Linked DNA regions of Schizosaccharomyces pombe. The gene in region 3 interacts genetically with the main gene of each other region. Each region holds a gene or a part of one and is shown on either strand. Other genes may lie near its edges.

What was found.
Region 1: mutations in pof7 (region 3) and pam17 together harm fitness more than expected from each alone (negative genetic interaction), as found in Schizosaccharomyces pombe (one large-scale study listed by BioGRID).
Region 2: mutations in pof7 (region 3) and gdh1 together harm fitness more than expected from each alone (negative genetic interaction), as found in Schizosaccharomyces pombe (one large-scale study listed by BioGRID).
Region 4: mutations in pof7 (region 3) and ubc16 together harm fitness more than expected from each alone (negative genetic interaction), as found in Schizosaccharomyces pombe (one large-scale study listed by BioGRID).

What each region holds. Positions count from the first base shown.
Region 1 is NC_003424.3:1,553,087-1,556,815, forward strand, and holds pam17 (putative TIM23 translocase complex-associated motor subunit Pam17), read right to left. Parts: upstream 1,735-3,729; 5' UTR 1,706-1,734; coding exon 1,295-1,705; intron 1,207-1,294; coding exon 1,128-1,206; intron 1,081-1,127; coding exon 1,049-1,080; intron 987-1,048; coding exon 915-986; 3' UTR 501-914; downstream 1-500. Other genes in the region: protein Dbs2, read right to left, coding at 1-127; U4/U5/U6 small nuclear ribonucleoprotein complex subunit Snu66, read left to right, coding at 2,048-3,729. UniProt on the Schizosaccharomyces pombe protein: Component of the PAM complex, a complex required for the translocation of transit peptide-containing proteins from the inner membrane into the mitochondrial matrix in an ATP-dependent manner.
Region 2 is NC_003421.2:1,418,612-1,423,245, forward strand, and holds gdh1 (NADP-specific glutamate dehydrogenase Gdh1), read right to left. Parts: upstream 2,593-4,634; 5' UTR 2,202-2,592; coding exon 846-2,201; 3' UTR 520-845; downstream 1-519. Other genes in the region: lmb1 (plasma membrane LMBR1-like multi-pass membrane protein, human LMBRD2 ortholog, implicated in signaling), read left to right, coding at 1-372; TTT co-chaperone complex, armadillo-type fold subunit Tti1, read right to left, coding at 3,939-4,634.
Region 3 is NC_003421.2:2,370,962-2,375,068, forward strand, and holds pof7 (F-box protein Pof7), read right to left. Parts: upstream 2,377-4,107; 5' UTR 2,119-2,376; coding exon 1,033-2,118; 3' UTR 553-1,032; downstream 1-552. Other genes in the region: SPOM_SPCC70.10 (uncharacterized protein), read left to right, coding at 1-399; U3 associated protein Utp25, read right to left, coding at 3,159-4,107.
Region 4 is NC_003423.3:187,441-192,347, reverse strand, and holds ubc16 (ubiquitin conjugating enzyme Ubc16), read right to left. Parts: upstream 2,942-4,907; 5' UTR 2,684-2,941; coding exon 2,429-2,683; exon of another isoform or gene 2,371-2,428; coding exon 2,143-2,370; 3' UTR 2,142-2,142; coding exon of another isoform or gene 1,131-2,141; 3' UTR 1,061-1,130; coding exon of another isoform or gene 934-1,060; 3' UTR 860-933; coding exon of another isoform or gene 672-859; 3' UTR 562-671; downstream 1-561. Other genes in the region: RNA polymerase I transcription termination factor/ RNA polymerase II transcription factor Reb1, read left to right, coding at 1-150, 202-412; asparagine--tRNA (Asn) ligase Slm5, read left to right, coding at 672-859, 934-1,060, 1,131-2,141; dipeptidase Dug1, read right to left, coding at 3,369-4,767, 4,893-4,907. UniProt on the Schizosaccharomyces pombe protein: Catalyzes the covalent attachment of ubiquitin to other proteins.

The DNA.
Region 1 (3,729 bases), on a different chromosome or scaffold from region 3:
CTAGCTGACGGTGCTTTTTTTCTTCTCTTTCTTTCATCCATCGTAAAACTTCGAGACGTTCTTCATCAAGTGCCGATTCCAATGATCCTGCAGATTTTCCACCACCAGAGTAAAGAGCCGAAGTCATCCTTTAACAAATAATAAATAATTCAAGTTAGTTCGCTTTAACTAACTCAAATGTATGAATTGCCCTCACTAGTTTGTTTACTTCCGTTAGGTGGTAGATACAAGGTTGCCTCGTTTTCAACCTACGAATCCTACAAATAGCGCGCAGCGAAACAACATTTGATCTCCTTCGCTAATTTATTACATCAAAACTATATTAATGTTTACACATAAAGGTTCTTGAATTTTGGAGGAGTAATCAAGTTAAAACTGATACTGTAAACTATTAATTATGTTTTCAAAGGTTTAGCTATATTCTTTTTATTTGATCAGTTTCAGTCTTGTAATTTATAAATTGAACCAATGCATTTTTTAATTGTTATTAAAATTGTGTACTGGCATGTCATGCATTACAAACAAAAATGTTATATATTTATAATCTTCTAATATCTGCTTCTAATGGTTTTACCATGTCAGTTGTACAACAATCATAGAACAGACGGCAAAAGCTTGTTGCAAAAGATAAAATTCAATAGCAGGAGTGACATGTACAACAAATTATGTAAGAAATTGTATGCACGGTAAATTATAATTAAGATAATCATTACTAGAATTTCTCTACACATGGACAAAAACACTTGCTTGAGAAAAGTCTGTACTATAAGTTGAGACTATACAGATTTCAATAGATGAACTTCTTTTCACAAATACTGATACGGCAATGCTTCTGTATCCTTTTAGTTATCGTGTTAAGAAAAGAACCTCATCCACAATTCTATATGACAAGCTATCACTTCAACACTTCTAATTTAACGATTGCTTGTACGCCAAAATGCCCGTTGTATGTAAGCCTTCTGATCCCTCAACCAACGTCGATAGTCCTTTGCATAAAAGTTAGTAATCAGTGTACAAAGTAAATGAGTAGATAACACATATCACATACAGAAAGGGAGTAAATTTTCTCACCGTAATAATCTAATTAAGAGTTAGACATCAATCATGACGCAGCCTTCACAGCATACCTGGGATAGGATTAGAATAGCTTTCCATTTGAGGTGTAACCCTGTTTTTAACCAAGTGACGGTAAAATTCTTGTTCTCTCTAAAAAATTAAATATATTAGAATACTTTCAGAAAACATAGTCCGTAGATGCTAACATAACCCCTATTATCTAAGGGAATGAACGTACCGCTGCAATTTGTCTCGCTTGACTTTTATGAAGCAGTGTCCATATTTTTCTACCTATACTAGGGCCCAAAAGCCATCCAAGCCCTCCGGATGCAATAGTTCCAATAACATATAGAGTAAATAGATCAAGACCCATAATAGTCATGGTAGGGTCAACAGTACGCGTAAGAAAATAGGCGGATCCTAATCCTAGTCCGGTAAGTGCAGTAGGAATAGAAGTTAAGGTTTCAAAAATCCTTCTGCTTTTTCTTAATTTCAGGAATGTGGGCCAATTTAAATCTTGAGGTTTCTTCTGTTTTATAGACTCAGTGGAATAAGTTTTTACATTATAACAAGTTTTCCATAAAGTTAAAAATATTTTGGGACTTTGTAATCTTTTTACAACTAGACCAGGCCGTATAATAGGTATCATAACGAATCCTTGCTTGTTGGAAAATGTATACTTCATATACGTATCGCCTCAATTGCTCTTCTCTTTTTAACGTATTTTGTTTATTATTCCTTAGCAAGCGCGGACGCATACTAGGAAACGCAACTTTTTTTGAAAGTACGCTAAAATAGCTTAGTGAGATATAAATGAGAGTTTAAGTAAATTATTTGAAACAATATTACGGTTCGTGTATTTCGCCATTCTCCTATTTTATTCATATCCTTGAGTCAGTTGCAAGTTTAGTGTATTTTTTTATTAAAAATCCATATTATTATTTATTTATCAGCATTTGAAAGTCTGTCACTTGCTGTTGGATTTAGTATAATGTCTGGGAATTCAGGCGCCTCTGAATCGATTTCTATTGAGGAGACCAATAGAATTAGAATTTCGCTAGGCCTCAAACCCTTAGATATTTCAGAAGAAAAACCTCAGAAAGAACTTTCAGATGCTTCAGTCAAGTCTTCGTATGTCGATCAAGAACAACAGGCCTATGAAAATTGGAAGAAACAAGAGCAGGAGGAAATAAATAGGAAGAAAGAAGAAGAACTGAAAAGCAAATTTGAAAAATTACGGCAAAAGAATGAACGAAGACGCAGAACGCAAGGAAAAACACTCGCTGAAACATTGGCAGAAGAGGATGATCAAATCGATGCTAACGATACTCGAGCGTGGATACTCAAAATGCGTAATTCCTCATTGAATAAAAATGGCAATGGATTGAATTTTGAAGCGAAGAATGACGCCCCCAGAAGATCCACTCTACATTCGCAAAATGCTGGTCCCAATGTGAATAGCTCATTAGAAGGAATGAAAATAGCACACGGTTTTCAAGATTTAAACAAGAACGATGGTCTAGTCCTTACATTGAAAGATGCTGATATATTAGACGAAGATAATCATGATCTATTAGAAAATGTTGAAATGGTCCAGCGGAAGACTAAAAACGAAAGGAAGGAAGATAACCCCTACAAACCGTATGAAGATGAGAATGATTTTCTTCAACAGTCGGAAGCAGATCAACCGTCTGAAGATACTTTTACGACCATTGGTCCACAAAATAGTCTCACTGTTAATTCTACTATAGAAAAACATAAATCTGATAATAAAAAAACTTTTGGGACTCTTGTCTCTTTCGTTGAACCAACTATCACTGGCAGCGAACAATCAGATTATCGACAAATAAAGATTAAGAAGTCAAAAAAGAAAAAGTCAAAGTCTGATCGGAGAAAGCGTCTAGTAGAACTTGATGCAGAAAATGAAAATGAAAATGACCCATCTGATTTCGTGCTACCGAATGGTCAGAGTAACAGTGATCTGTCAGTTGAGCAAGATTCGGCTATTTTCAAAGAACAAAAGAAAATGAAGATTCAAAAGCGTATGCGCGAATTAGAAACACAGTCGTTTGCTGATGATGATGATTTGCAACAGTCAATTGCAATGCAGAGGAGGCTAGCTCAAAAAAGAGCGAAAATACTTAAGCCAGAAGATGTAGCTGAGCAATTGCAGAATGCCGAAGAAGTCACAGATATGACGGACTCGGACACGGCTTCCGGTTTAATATTTGATGATACGCGTGCTTTTGTTAATAGCATAAAGGAAACTGAAAATCGAGAAGCTCTTGGTTCCATAAATGAACAAGCATTTGAAGATTCCAAAGATTTGAACGATACCAATAGTATTACTGGAAGTTCTCCAACTGAAGAAAGTAATGCTTTAGTGGAAGACACCTCGGTTGATATTTCTGCAACTCTCGAAGAAGCCAATACGCAGCAGGAGAATGCAGAAGATGAGCCACTTGTCTCTGACAATGTTGGTGCAGTTCTAAGCCTTCTCCGGAATAAAGGCGTAATTAAAGTGTCGGATGAAGCGAAAGAGAAAATACAAAAAGAAGAAGAGTACAATAAATGGTTTGCCAGAAAACAGCAAGCCAGAGTTGAACTGGAGGAGCAACGTAGAAAGAAAAAAGAACAAGATCGTCTCAGCGGGAAATTTGAAAAAATGACTCA
Region 2 (4,634 bases), 950 kb from region 3:
GCATCTCAACTTTGTCGCTTAACGCTTCCTCTTTGTTATAACTTTGTTTCTCTACAACCTTATCCCACCCAATTCCATCAATTCTATGGTGAGAGTATTGACCTCTTACCACTTGGAAATCTTATTAGCAAACGTTATCCAACCTTTATACTACTGCCGATTATTTTTTCTATGATTTCTTTAAAATATAGGTTGCGACAATTCATTTATTCCATTACGCTGCGCAAATCATCCAGTGCCAGCTCTTCCGATGACTTTGATGATTCATCACTGAATTCAGAAAACGATGATGATCTGTTTAATGAAACCTCGGCTGCCTATTTAGCTGAAGGCAGAGCCCTTCTTTTGGGTACAAATAATGCCCATGTTTAATTTACCGTTATGAGCCCTATGTATTTTAATAATTTAGTCTATTCTTCACATTTTTAACAGCAATTGTTATTTCTCAACTATTTTCTTATACAAGTCTATCATTTACATAACGTTAAAAAATTCTTTTTAGTAAATTCTTCAAAGGATTCTCATAAATAATAATTTCATACAGCTATCAAATACCAGTTAAAATTAATTGAATAAAGGAGGCGCCTTGAGCGGAACTAGAAAATCAAATGATCCTTTTATTACATGAAAAGTCTACATAATTACGGGTACTTCGTATTCGAAGCATCTGTGAGAATAATTCAAAGACTGATTTATTTTTTTTCGTATGCATCATAATCATCTAATAGATTCATAGCTTTTTAAAAAAATTGGTAAAGTAGAAGAGGTACAGAAAAGCGAGTGACTTGAAAAAACATATACAGATACAGTGAATCAAAAATGCCTAAACATTTCACGAATGAAGTCTACCACCAGTCACCAACGGCTTGCATGGCAGTAGCAACCTTCAAGAAACCAGCAATGTTGGCACCATCGACAAGACTGGGAATGTTGTTAGAGCCAGAGTCACAATACTTGGAGGCGACATCGGTGGATTGTTCAAAGATGTTTTGCATAATTCCAGCCAATTTAGCGTCAACCTCGGCATGAGTCCAGGTAGAGAATTGAGCATTTTGAGCCATTTCCAAGCCAGAAACGGCGACACCACCAGCATTGGCAGCCTTACCAGGAGCAAGCCAGCAACCCTCACCAGAAGCACGAGACTTCTCAAAGACTTCAACGGCCTCAGCAGAAGAACCCATGTTGGAGCCCTCAGCAACGTAGCGACATCCTTGTTTGATAAGAGCGGCGGCTTCCTCACCGCTAACTTCGTTTTGAGTTGCACAAGGCAAAGCAATGTCAATTTCACCAACATTAGTCCAGGGACGAGCACCGGCGATGTAGTGATGCTTCTTGCAAAGAGAAGCAGAGTCGGCAATGCTGGCACGCTTCTCCTTTAGAGCCATAATTTCATGGATCTCTTCAGGGACAAGGCCTTCAGCGGTCTTTGCAATTAGGACACCTTTAGAGTCACTGATACTCTTAACAATAGCGCCTTCTTGAATGCACTTCAAGGCAGCATATTGAGCAACGTTGCCGCTACCGGAGATGGCAACACGCTTGCCCTTCAAGGTCTCGGCACCCTTGGTGCGGTGTTCAATCATGTGCTTAACATAGTAAACGACACCGTAGCCAGTGGCTTCAGGACGAATGTTGCTACCGCCGGTAAGCATGTGCTTGCCGGTGACGACACCACTGTACTCATTGCGAAGACGCTTGTACTCACCAAACATGTGCATAACGACAAAACCTGTGACACCAATATCACCAGCCGGTACATCAGTTTGAGGACCGATATAGCGGAAAAGCTGACGCATGAAAGCTTGCGAGAAGCGACGAATCTCGTTGTCGGATTTGCCCTTGGGGTCGAAGTCAGAACCACCTTTGCCACCACCCATGGGAAGGCCCGTCAAGGCATTCTTGAAAATTTGTTCAAAGCCCAAGAACTTGAGGATGCTCAAGTTGACGGAAGGATGGAAACGCAATCCACCCTTGTAGGGGCCCAAAGCCGAGTTGAATTGGACACGGTAGCCGGTGTTAACACGGCAGTTACCTTTATCGTCCTCCCATGTGACGCGGAATTCTAAGACACGTTCGGGAATGGAAATGATTGGAAGCACACGCTTCAACTCGGGATGAACTTCAAAGAGCTTGGAGCTCTCGATGGAGCCCACAATCTCCTTGTAGGCTTGTTGAAATTCAGGTTCGTATGGGGTACTCATGGTGGGCCAAAAAAGTAAACAAAATCGAAGGTAGTGATATAGAGTGTATATCTATATAATAATGATAAGTTTAGAGAATTCGAGATATCAAAAAAAGGCGACCTCGAAAACTTTTAACAATACAAATACAGGCTGTACAATCCAAAGTTCTATACAAATCCGTATTCGACGCCTTCAACGCAAAGACTTTCAAAATTTAACTACAATCCAACAAAACTCTTACAACGTGAGTATGTAAGAGATATCGATCCGGGTTCAAAACGCTTACCAGATGTACCAGTGCAGTGTAGCAGGAGGATTCAGGGACGTGCTGGCCATGTCTGCTATATTTATACACTTAACAAGCAATAATCAACAGTCACACCAGATACCTTGTTTTTTGGGAGACCATACGTTTGCTAATGGCTGACGACTTGCAATAAACCTGATGGAAGAGCGATGGCGGAGATAACAGACGAATAGGATGTAAGTATGATGTCAAAATCTCCAATCACAATGCTCCTATATATCTCTTTTCTCTATAATTGGATAGTGGAAAAGAAGATTACTTAAGCGGAAAATTTCCGATCTGATAAGCCAACCCCCTCACAGAATTCCTTCGTCTCCTGCTCAACCAAATAAAGATAAGATAAGCATTGCTTAATGATTGGTCCGTGCAACGGCTATCACCCACCCTACTGAAAATGTGGGGAAAACGCAGCTCCTCCGGGAAAATCCATGGAATTATAGAAGATCCTTAGTGGGATGGGGTGCTTGGGGGGGGGGGAAAGATGTTTTTAGATGAAAAAAAAATGTTTTAGAGAGGTTAATGTTGTAATATAGAAGATTTTCGCTTTCTGTTGATTAACAGTTTCTATAATTTTTTTAAGAAAAAAAATCTGGAAAAGTCCAAGTCCTTTGTTAATCTAATCTCGTTCCAATCTCTCACATCCATTTAAAGGGTCTATTCTTTACTCCTTTCAGTTGCTGCCCCCTTACTGATAACAAGGATAACTAAGGATAGTACCAAAAGAAAAAAACGCTAAATACTGAAATAGGTCGAATCACACTGAAACGGGTAGGTTCTTCCAGGCAGACCAAATCGCAAATACATATCCGAAAATTCGAGTAAACGGCCTTGCCTCGGTTTTACAGTATGGACTAAACATTCGCTCATCCAAACGTATTGCGCCTTAGCAGCCATAGTCATGACTAGCTTTCAATAGAAAAAAGACAAACGAAACAGAGTCATGAAATTCGTAGCGTAGATGTAAGTTAGAAAAATTTCAAATTTCTTTATTTTTTGGTCTTCTGATAACCCACTATCCCACTATCGTTTGTCCATTTATTCCTTGCCCGATCATGTGGCTGTTTGCTTTGAATCTAAAATTGGATAGAAAATAGTTCATTCGAAAGATTAGCGAAACTACGAAACAAGGTGCGATCGTCGTTGTGCTCGGTAGCAAGATGAGTTTGTTTTTTAGTATAATTTAGGTAGCTGCCAGCCTCGTTTCGTCAACTTAGCTAAATTCGTTGAGTCTGACTCATTGAATGTAGGTAAAATGGCTCATCTAAATCGAAACAAGTTGAATCGAGTACAGCCTTAGTCAAATCAAATAATGCCAAGATGAAAAAAGTCGAGCCTTTGCCAATATAATTTTATGCGATGTAATGGAATTCTTTGCCTGATTTTTAGGCTCTTTGTATTTTCTTTTAAAACACGGAAAATTCTAAAACTGGTAACCACTTTTATTATCGTTAAATGATGGAAATCAATGGTTTTTTAGCTCCTTTTTTCGGTTGATTCAAGTGTAACAAATTGTCCAAAGAAGGGAGTGGTTCCTCTTGTGTCTCGGTTTTCCCGCTGCCTTGTTGCCCAAGCAAATCATTGAAAACAGTCTCCGACGTCTTTGCTCCGACAGGTTCCAAAACTTCATGTGTTCGGCGATATGTACGTTGAACACGTTGCTTTCCCGGAATTAACAATTCAGTAGAGAAAGTGTCAATCATTTGAGACCCTCGAACTTCTCTCTCATAATACACTGCGTCGGGATTTTGCTTGGAAAATGCGTTCCAAGTTTCTTCCACCAATGATTCATCCCCCGCATACTTTTGAGACATGTGAGTAATGGCTCGTATGATGGGTGCCGTTATCCCCATAAGCTTCAAATACACTACAATGCTCAATTTGTTAGCCACACATGCTGAAGTTACTTTTAGCATTGCCCTTTGCAAACGATGCTCACTAGAATATGTTCGAGCAACATTGAAAAGATGCCAACGTTGGCACAACGTCTCCAATCGTGGAAGCAAATCTTGGCGAATCCTAGATGTCATAAAATCATCTGCAAGGGCGCAAACTTGATATATAGTTTCTAATGCGCATTCTACTAGCAGTTCGTTATCCGTGTCAAGCTGAATAACGACCAATGGCCAAAATGTATTAATAGCAGG
Region 3 (4,107 bases):
AGATTTTTTGTTCGCCGTCGACAGGCAAGGGCTGGACAGACCAAACCAGCAACTACACGCCCCATGGCAGAAGCTCGCGCTAGGCCTGGCGCAACAGCAGTTCCTCGCCGTTCACCTACATCTCCCCAGTCTGCATACGTTCCTGCAACTGTATATACATCTCCAATTGGCTCACCTCGTCGTGGCTCTGTTCGGTATACACATGTAATGGCACACCCGAATACAACTACTACCGTTTCTGAAAATTTGCCTGAAGAAGTCCCACCTCCATATAGTCCAGCTGCTACTGCAAGCAATACACCCCAAAATGAAGCAAGCCCTGCAGCAACCGAAGCTGTAAATCACGAACGACCAGCTTCACCACCACCAGTTTACAGACCTCCAGAGGAAATGGTTTAGCTTTGAATAGAAATGAGCGATTTTCTACAGTTTCGTTAATCCTTTCTCTTTTTCTCTTTACGAAACTAATTTACTTTAATTTTATTATCCAAAATAAATCCGTTTGTTAACTTTAAAACGGAATCTTCATGTTGAATTATTGCTCTCCGATATTTCTCCATGTTTTACTTTTGTCATTCAATGCTTCGATATGGCGATTTTTTATGTTGCCTTTAGTTTATTTATTTGTGGTAAAAAAGCAGGGATTTTTTACGAACATGATTACGAATGGTTTTATGGTTTTCTTTATGAATATTCGATCTGGACTTCAAGAAACTGATACGTTTAATATTCCATTTCGTGGGTTTTCCTCTTTTATTTTTTAAGTTTTGTGCATTCTATTTACTCTTTTCTCCTCAAGTATCACGCATGTTTCCTTGGACTTAGGATTGTTTATAACTTTGTACTTCCAAAAATTTGTTAAGCATCTGTTGTTCATTTGTAAATGTATGTTAATGATATATTTCCATGCGAAGAATAATGATGGCATTAATATTAATAAAAAATAATTTCTTTAAATCCTCTCACGATGCGACCTATAATAGATAATTAATCATTTCCGCGGTTTCTAAATTAGTATTCCAAAAAGTAAGACTAGCCACGTTTTAGTGACTCTGAGTCAGCAGTATAGCTATATACTCTGGAGAAAACATAGTCACGATTGTGAGTGAGTGGCATTTCGTTCGTGAATGAGGTATAATTATGGATGGAGTAGAAAGAAATCCACTTAAGCCTTATTCCACGAACTTGAAGTTTTTGAACGTATGTATAAGTTTGACTTGCGGGATACACAATTAGCATTTCTCCAGAAGGAGTCATTGACCAGGAGCCAGTGAGTGCTACGTTTCCATTACTAAACATAGGAGAACTCGACATAGGAGAAAAAAGACTGGTGTTTTGCACACTGAAGTTGCGAACAACATCATTTGGTTCATTACTGCTTTGATAAACGATACATGTTGAATTAGGATAAAGTCGTAAATACCGGTAGTATGTGATCAAATGTATGGGTTGGTTCCAGCTCGTGTCACTAGTTCCAGGTCGAAAGTATCGACAAACGGATATGTAGCATCCGTCAAAACGAGATCGAGGCTTTTTAAGGAACAAAGTCTTCCAGCTTTGCTGGTATTTTTCCACGAGTTCTTCCTCTATTGACTTAATAGACTGTTGCCATTCTTTTTGTTCACAACTGCAATAACAAAACGATCTATATAGAGAATCTGCTCGTAATGCCTTCGCAAAATGCTTACAAGTTAGTGCAATTGAAGAGAGATATCTTAAATCATGAAGGTCCCTAATGCAATTCTCTAGGATAACTAGCAAAACCTCGTCGGGAAGCTTCAGTATATTGGGAACGACCGACTCATTTACAGACTCATTTTCCGTTAACGTTGGAGATGGGACTGAGGAAACAGTGAGCATAGCTTCTGATGCATCTGAATTTAACATTTCCTCCTCTTCATTTCTTTTACACAGTTGCAAACGCTCCAAACGCCGATAGATAGATTCCACATCTTCATGGACTTTATGAGCTAATCGATATTTATTAAGAGATTCACCTAAATTTCCTTCTCTTTCAGATTTTATAGCATCTTTGTAATGTAAAAGTGCTTTTTTCAACAGTATATCCTTGTTCACTGTTTCAAGTTCAAGAGAAAGTTGATCCTCTACTGTACTCATCACTTATTTTATTTCTCAGACGAGCAATCGAAAGTAGATGTATAATTGAAAAAGAAAATATTTTCTTACTTATTTCTCTCAAAATAGAAAAAAAAAAAAAGAATTCAACACGAATATTAAGAGGTTAAGATAGTGCTGAACCTAACTAATGACTTTTATGTTTTTTACTTTTCATACAATTCCTAGCAAAGTATTAACAAGGATTTAAGGATTAAAAGCATCCTTTCACAAGACCTTACTTTGGTAACAATATGGTTTAGTTCATGGGTAGTTAGCCGTTGCGTTTAATATCAAGTTGTGGCGGTTTGATAACAAGAAGAAGAAGATTAAATTGAGTCAATCGTCGCTTCTTTACTGTTTAAAAAATGGACTAGATAAATATTGTAACATGTTTGAGATGCTATTTGGCTATGGGCATATTTGTAGGTGTCTTCGATTCTATCACTTCTAACAAGGCGTTAGGACTTGCGAAACCATTACATAAACTTAAAACTTGTTCAAATCAAAAGTTACTTGGCAATAAGCTAAGTGGATATTAGGATTTTAGCGATATAGAAAACATTTCGATTTGATGAATTATTGTAATAATTACCAGCTTCATGTAGCATTACTGCATTTATTTATGGTGAATATGATAGCGATTTTTATTGTTAATAAACGAGTAGATACATATCCCGCTTTGCTTTCGGATAATTCTCAGCATATCTTCGTCAAAAGCAATTGAGATTTAGATATGGTTTCGGGAACACAGTCGAAACCAAACTCATTGATAATGTACGATGCCTTCCAATCGCTATATGAATCTTGAAATAAGTATAAAAAAAATTATATATTGAAAACATTTAAAAAGCACTGTCAAGTTAAATCATTCAAGTAGCTATTTACTCATTCGCTCTCAATAAATAAAGCAAAGCGGAATGGTCCAAATAAAGTACATTTTAAGCTATTCTATTGTTTTAAAGTAGTAATTTTGTAGCTCTTTCATCCAAAAATCCAAATGACCCCTAATTCCTTTTTAAAAAAATTTTTTTCGTATTCTTTTAAAGAAATTCAAAAACTTCATGTTTACCATGACACATGTTTGATACACGCTGATATCCCACTATGCCTTCCAGGCAAATAGAATCAAACTTTGTATACATAATTCTACACTTTGCTGCATCACTGTCAAGGTTTCCTTCAGAGATGGTTCTCATCGGCATTCTAACAAGTTCAACATAAAACTGAGGATTCGTTGGGGGACCATACATCACAACAGCTTTTACACCCCTAAAGTCAAATCGACGGAAATGGTGAGCGCGCTCAGTATATAGCATTATATTGGTTCTACCTTGATAAAAAAGATTGCGGGCTCTAGTCATATCGGATACACTCGAATATTCTGATATGGCAGAATAGTTAATTCCCTCCTCATCCATGTAATTTCTCACACGAACAAAATCAAAATATGAAGGTATATAAACTAAAATACCACTCTGGGAATACTTCTTTAGTTGTACTAGTATAGAACCAGTAAAATAGGAAAAGCGGGCATCTGGAACTTTAATAATAGAATCGACAGAAATGCGAACAAAAGTTTGAGTCACTTTGTACCCCAAGCGGTTTAAAACACCGTGAAGAAGCGAGCGAAATTTAACCTTACCAGCAATATTTGACATGTAGTGAGAAAAGAAAGAATTTATATCTAGATTGTTATATTGAGAAAATAGTATAGTTTGGCGCATATATCTGGCTTGCTGATCAAGATACCAAGGACGAACACGACTGAAATCACAACCGTGAGCTTCTTTAGGCAAACCATTAAGTTCATCAAAAATGCATTCAATATGTTCCCAGTTTTGCATCACGAGAGCATGAGCTTGGTCAACCATTGCTATTTCAATCGAACTCAAATAATCGAGGTCTCGCTTTTTATCTCCCTTGTTACCAATAGCAAGACGAAGTCCCAAAGGACTAGCAACTATAATGTCAGAATTGTAAAACTGGGAA
Region 4 (4,907 bases), on a different chromosome or scaffold from region 3:
CCGTGAAGACTTAAGTTCTGACATTAATTGGACGCTTGTTGCCCAAATGTTAGGTACTAGGACTCGTTTACAGTGTCGTTATAAATTTCAGCAATTGACGAAGGCTGCTTCAAAATTTGAACTTCAAGAAAACGTTTGGCTCTTAGAAAGGTAAGTATTGACCTACATAATTTCTCTTGCTTGCTAATATTTTAATTTAAGGATTTACGACTCGTTATTGAACAATGGTGGTAAAATTCATTGGGAAAATATCGTAAAAGAAGCTAATGGACGATGGACACGCGATCAGATGTTGTTTCAATTTATAAATTTGAAAAAAATGATACCAAGTTACGACAATCTTCCTCTTCTAGAAGCCACGAAGTCAGCCATTGATGACTTTAAAGTGGTACTTTCTGGATTCTCCAATTGACGTCCTTACAATTTTTTGAACGAAAAAATTTGTTTTAACTTACTTAAGTAACTTTGTATCTTTTTACAAGTCCTTATTAAAATGACTTAATTCTTAACGCAACACCTTCATACTGAGGATATGTAAAGTCGCCTTACTACTACCGCTCTTTGCATTTCTAGTTATTGGCGAATAGTTTTTGGAAGAATTCATAATTTCCTTAGCAATAGAGGATTTTTTGTAAATTAATAATTAAAATTGAATTGTTTGCTAATTCCGTATGAATAAATTCCAACTACCAAAAACTTTAAAGTCTTTATGGCATCACCCACATAATGGAGAGTTAATAAGCATAAACGGCTGGGTACGATCTATCCGAAAACTAAAAAATGTTTGTTTTGCCATGGTTTCTGATGGTACATGTCAACAAGCCCTTCAAGTGGTGACTTCGCCTGAACAGAGTAAGAAGTATGGTTGAGGAGGAGACATAAAATCTAAATTATATGATATCTTTTTCCTACTAACATTAATTTATTATCAAGGCTATCATATGGTGCTAGTGTGAATATTGAAGGCCAGTTGGCAGTTTCTAAAAACGCAAAACTTGGATTGCAGCAGTATGAACTGTTGGCTGAGAAAATAAAAATTTACGGCCAGATAAATGATGATGTATGTGCTTTCAAAATTGAATATACTGCAAGTCTATCGCCATAGAATTAAATTCTAATCCGGAATATAGAACTACCCTATTCAGAAAAAACATTTGACTACTGAAATGTTACGACAAATACCCCATCTTCGATTACGAACAGCAAAACAAGGGGAGATTTTTCGTCTCCGTTCAGATTCATTAAAAGCATTGCGACAATTTTTTTCAAGCAAAGATTTTACAGAGACCAACCCCCCGATAATAACTTCTTCTGATTGTGAAGGAGCTGGTGAAGTATTTACCTTGACCCCCCAGGAGACGCATAAAAATAAAAGTTTTGAAAGAGATGATCAAAAGCATTTTTTTGACCGACCTGCATTTTTAACTGTATCCACTCAATTGCATCTAGAGGCTCTAGCATTAGGACTGTCCAGAGTGTATACTATATCGCCAGCATTTAGAGCAGAACAAAGTCATACTAGTCGACATTTGGCAGAATTTTGGATGCTGGAAGCAGAAGTTGCGTTCATGACTTCGCTTTCACAACTAACATCACTTATGGAGGATATGATTAAATATACTCTTAATTCATTGATGGAGCAGAACTATCACAGAGATCATTGGGACCAACTGCTTAAACCGTGGAAATGCATGACATATTCTGAAGCAATAGAAGAATTAAGCGCTGTGAAAAAAACATGGAAATACCCTCCTAAATGGGGAAACGATTTAAGTAGTGAACATGAAAAATATCTTTGTGAAATCTTACATAAAACTCCGGTATTCGTGACGGACTATCCACAAAAAATTAAACCGTTTTATATGAAATCCTCTGGGCCCGATACAGTTGCTGCTGTTGATTTACTCGTTCCACAGGTGGGTGAACTTGCTGGAGGTTCTTTACGTAAAGACCATTTAGATGAGTATAAAACTTACCCACCAGAACTTCAATGGTATTTAGACCTAATGAAGTACAGCAATGCGCCACACGGAGGGTTTGGCTTAGGGATAGAACGACTGATTGCTTTTCTAGAAGGAGAAAACACGAACGTAAAAGAAACTATACCCTTCCCCCGTTCAGTAGGATCCATTTTTGCATGATTTATGAAAGATCTTCTATCTTACCTTTGGCGTAAAGATAGGTTGTACATCGAACTAATGAATTATAAGCCGTTTTGTCCCCGGTTCTCAACAGCTTGGCGGCATCTACATTTAATGGAGAACTAGCATCGTAATTACTTAAAAGAGAGATAATTGCTAAACAAGCAGATTGTAGACTCCAGGCCGGCGACCAATGTGTCTTTAATATGTCCATACATACTTCGCCGTTCTACCATTGACGTTAGCTAATGAATGTAATCTAAAAAACTCTATTTAAATTGGCTTACCGTCCATGAAATATTCGGATGTACAATTTTTGTTTGAAAATACACAGACGGGGGACTAATAGGATACCCTTCGTGAACATGAATATCGAGAACCCATTGCCCCCCTTCATACGGTGTTTCAGTAGGTCCTTCAATGACTGCCTTCCAATGGAACATATCAACATCAGTGACCGGTTTTAAAAGTAAGAGACCAGATATATCTCCAGCCTGGAAACTGGCATATTCTTTGTGAAGTCGTTTAATTGAACTATTCATTTGTCAAGATTCATAACACTCGTTTCTATTTTAGGTTCTAGCATGCATCAACTCTAGATAGCAAAGCTTGTCAATCTAAGAAGATTTAAATTTTCAAGGATTACCGGTTTCGCAGGTGTTGCTGGAAGCAAACAAAACCAGGTGTACTCACTAAGTTGTGTAAAAAGAAGTTAATACATAAATGCACTCAAAGCGATCCTTAATTAGCCTTATTCAACGGAAGGTAACCGAAATTTGATTAAGGCTCAGTGGCATAGTAAAGAAATGTTAGTGTTTTATTTGAAATTCGTCTTTAGTTCGTTACAACACGGTAAGCATCAATATTTGATTTAAAGAAATAAAAGTCAGATTGCATTACAGGTAATACAAGTTTTGGAGCTGATTATTAAAAATAAACGATGAAGTAAACAACATCTTATTCCTAACTTTCGTATTTTATTTGACTTTGCAGAATTTTCATTTCTAGATAATCATATAGAATTGCAGACATGAAATCACTCAGTTACATACCAAGGCTCGCAAGCGCATATTACTCGGATTCAATGACAAAGTTTATTCATTAAAAGAATGCGTAAATAATTTCGAATAACAAGATTTATAATATTTAACGTACAGAATCTACCAATACAAAGTAAACACACCAATATCATGATAGTATTAACTTAACGCTAAATCGAAAGGGATTTTAAGGAGAAACAGAAGCCAACTCATGAACATAAGTACAGAAAAGTTTTATGCCCTTAAGGAAGTTATCAAGGTCTAATTTCTCATTGATACTGTGGGCACCGTCATCACCACGGCCCATAGGCAACAACAAAACATTTTTCTTCAAAGATTGCTCAAAAGTAACAGTTACTGGAATAGAACCGCCTTCACGAACGAAATCTGGGGTTATACCGTAAACACGCTCAGTGGCTTTTTTACCGACATCATAATGCCAGTGGTCAGGAGAAGAAATCCACCAACTTCCAGAGTGCATGTTGTTAAAAGCGAGCTTGTTTTTCGAGTTCAAAGAGTTGAAAACCTTTGTTACATGTTCTTTAACAAGTCGTTCAACAGTTTCTGACTCCATATTGGGGACGGTGCGAATGGAAAATTTACCAATAACTTTCGCGGGAATAACCGTTTTAGCACCACTGCCACTAAAGGCACCTTCAATACCATGAAGTGAAAGTGTAGGATATCTCCAGCGATGTTGAAGTGTTCTCTTGGGATCGGGATAAATAGAAATATCAGCACCGACCGCCTCTTTCAAATCTTCCATTGTATAATCAATTCCATCATAAATACTATCCTCGGTAGGTGTGAGTTCTGCTACTTGGTCCATGATACCAGGAATCAAAATTTCACCATTGGGTTTAACTAAAGTACTCATGATAGCAACTAAGTCCGTCATAGGCTCATGCACAGTACCGCCAAAAACGCCAGAGTGCAGATCAGCAGATGGTCCTTCGACAGTAATATTAAAGTAACAAACACCACGGAGGCCGTAAGTTAAAACTGGCTTTTTGGTACCCAACCAATAAGTATCGCTGATGCAAACACAATCTGCTTTAGCAAAGTACTTTTCAGCTTCTGCACGAATTAAATCTTCTAAACCTTCACTGCCGTATTCCTCCATTCCTTCAAAACACATGAGTAAGTTTACTGGAAAATCAATACCAAGTTCTTTGTGAGCTTCAATGGCCGAAATCCATCCAATGAGCGGTCCTTTATCATCAGTAGCACCGCGACCAAACATGCGTCCTTTATTGTCAACTGTCAACGTGAAAGGGTCAGTACTCCATCCATCTTCTAATGAAGCCGGCTGAACATCAAAGTGATTATAAATTAAAACAGTCTTTTTAGAAGGGTCATTTCCGTATTGACCGAGAACAATAGGTGGCAGAGGAACGTCTTGTCCATCCATTTGATGATAACCAATATCACGCTTCTCCATCTTGGCTCCCAACTTTGTGAACTCACTAACCACAAAGTCAGCCATCTCTACAACTTTGGGACGAAGCGTTACATCGGCAGAGACAGAAGGTATAGAAACTGCCCGTGAAAGCCTAGTAACAAACTCATCCTTCTTCTTATCTATACTATAAAGTGTTAGGCATGTCGCTTTCTGAAATCTGCAATAAAATAAAGAAATAAGACTTGCCTCTGGCAATTCTGAACAACTGTCTACTTTTCTTTAATTTCTTCAAGAAAGATCCTTACTTACACTTCGTATAACTTA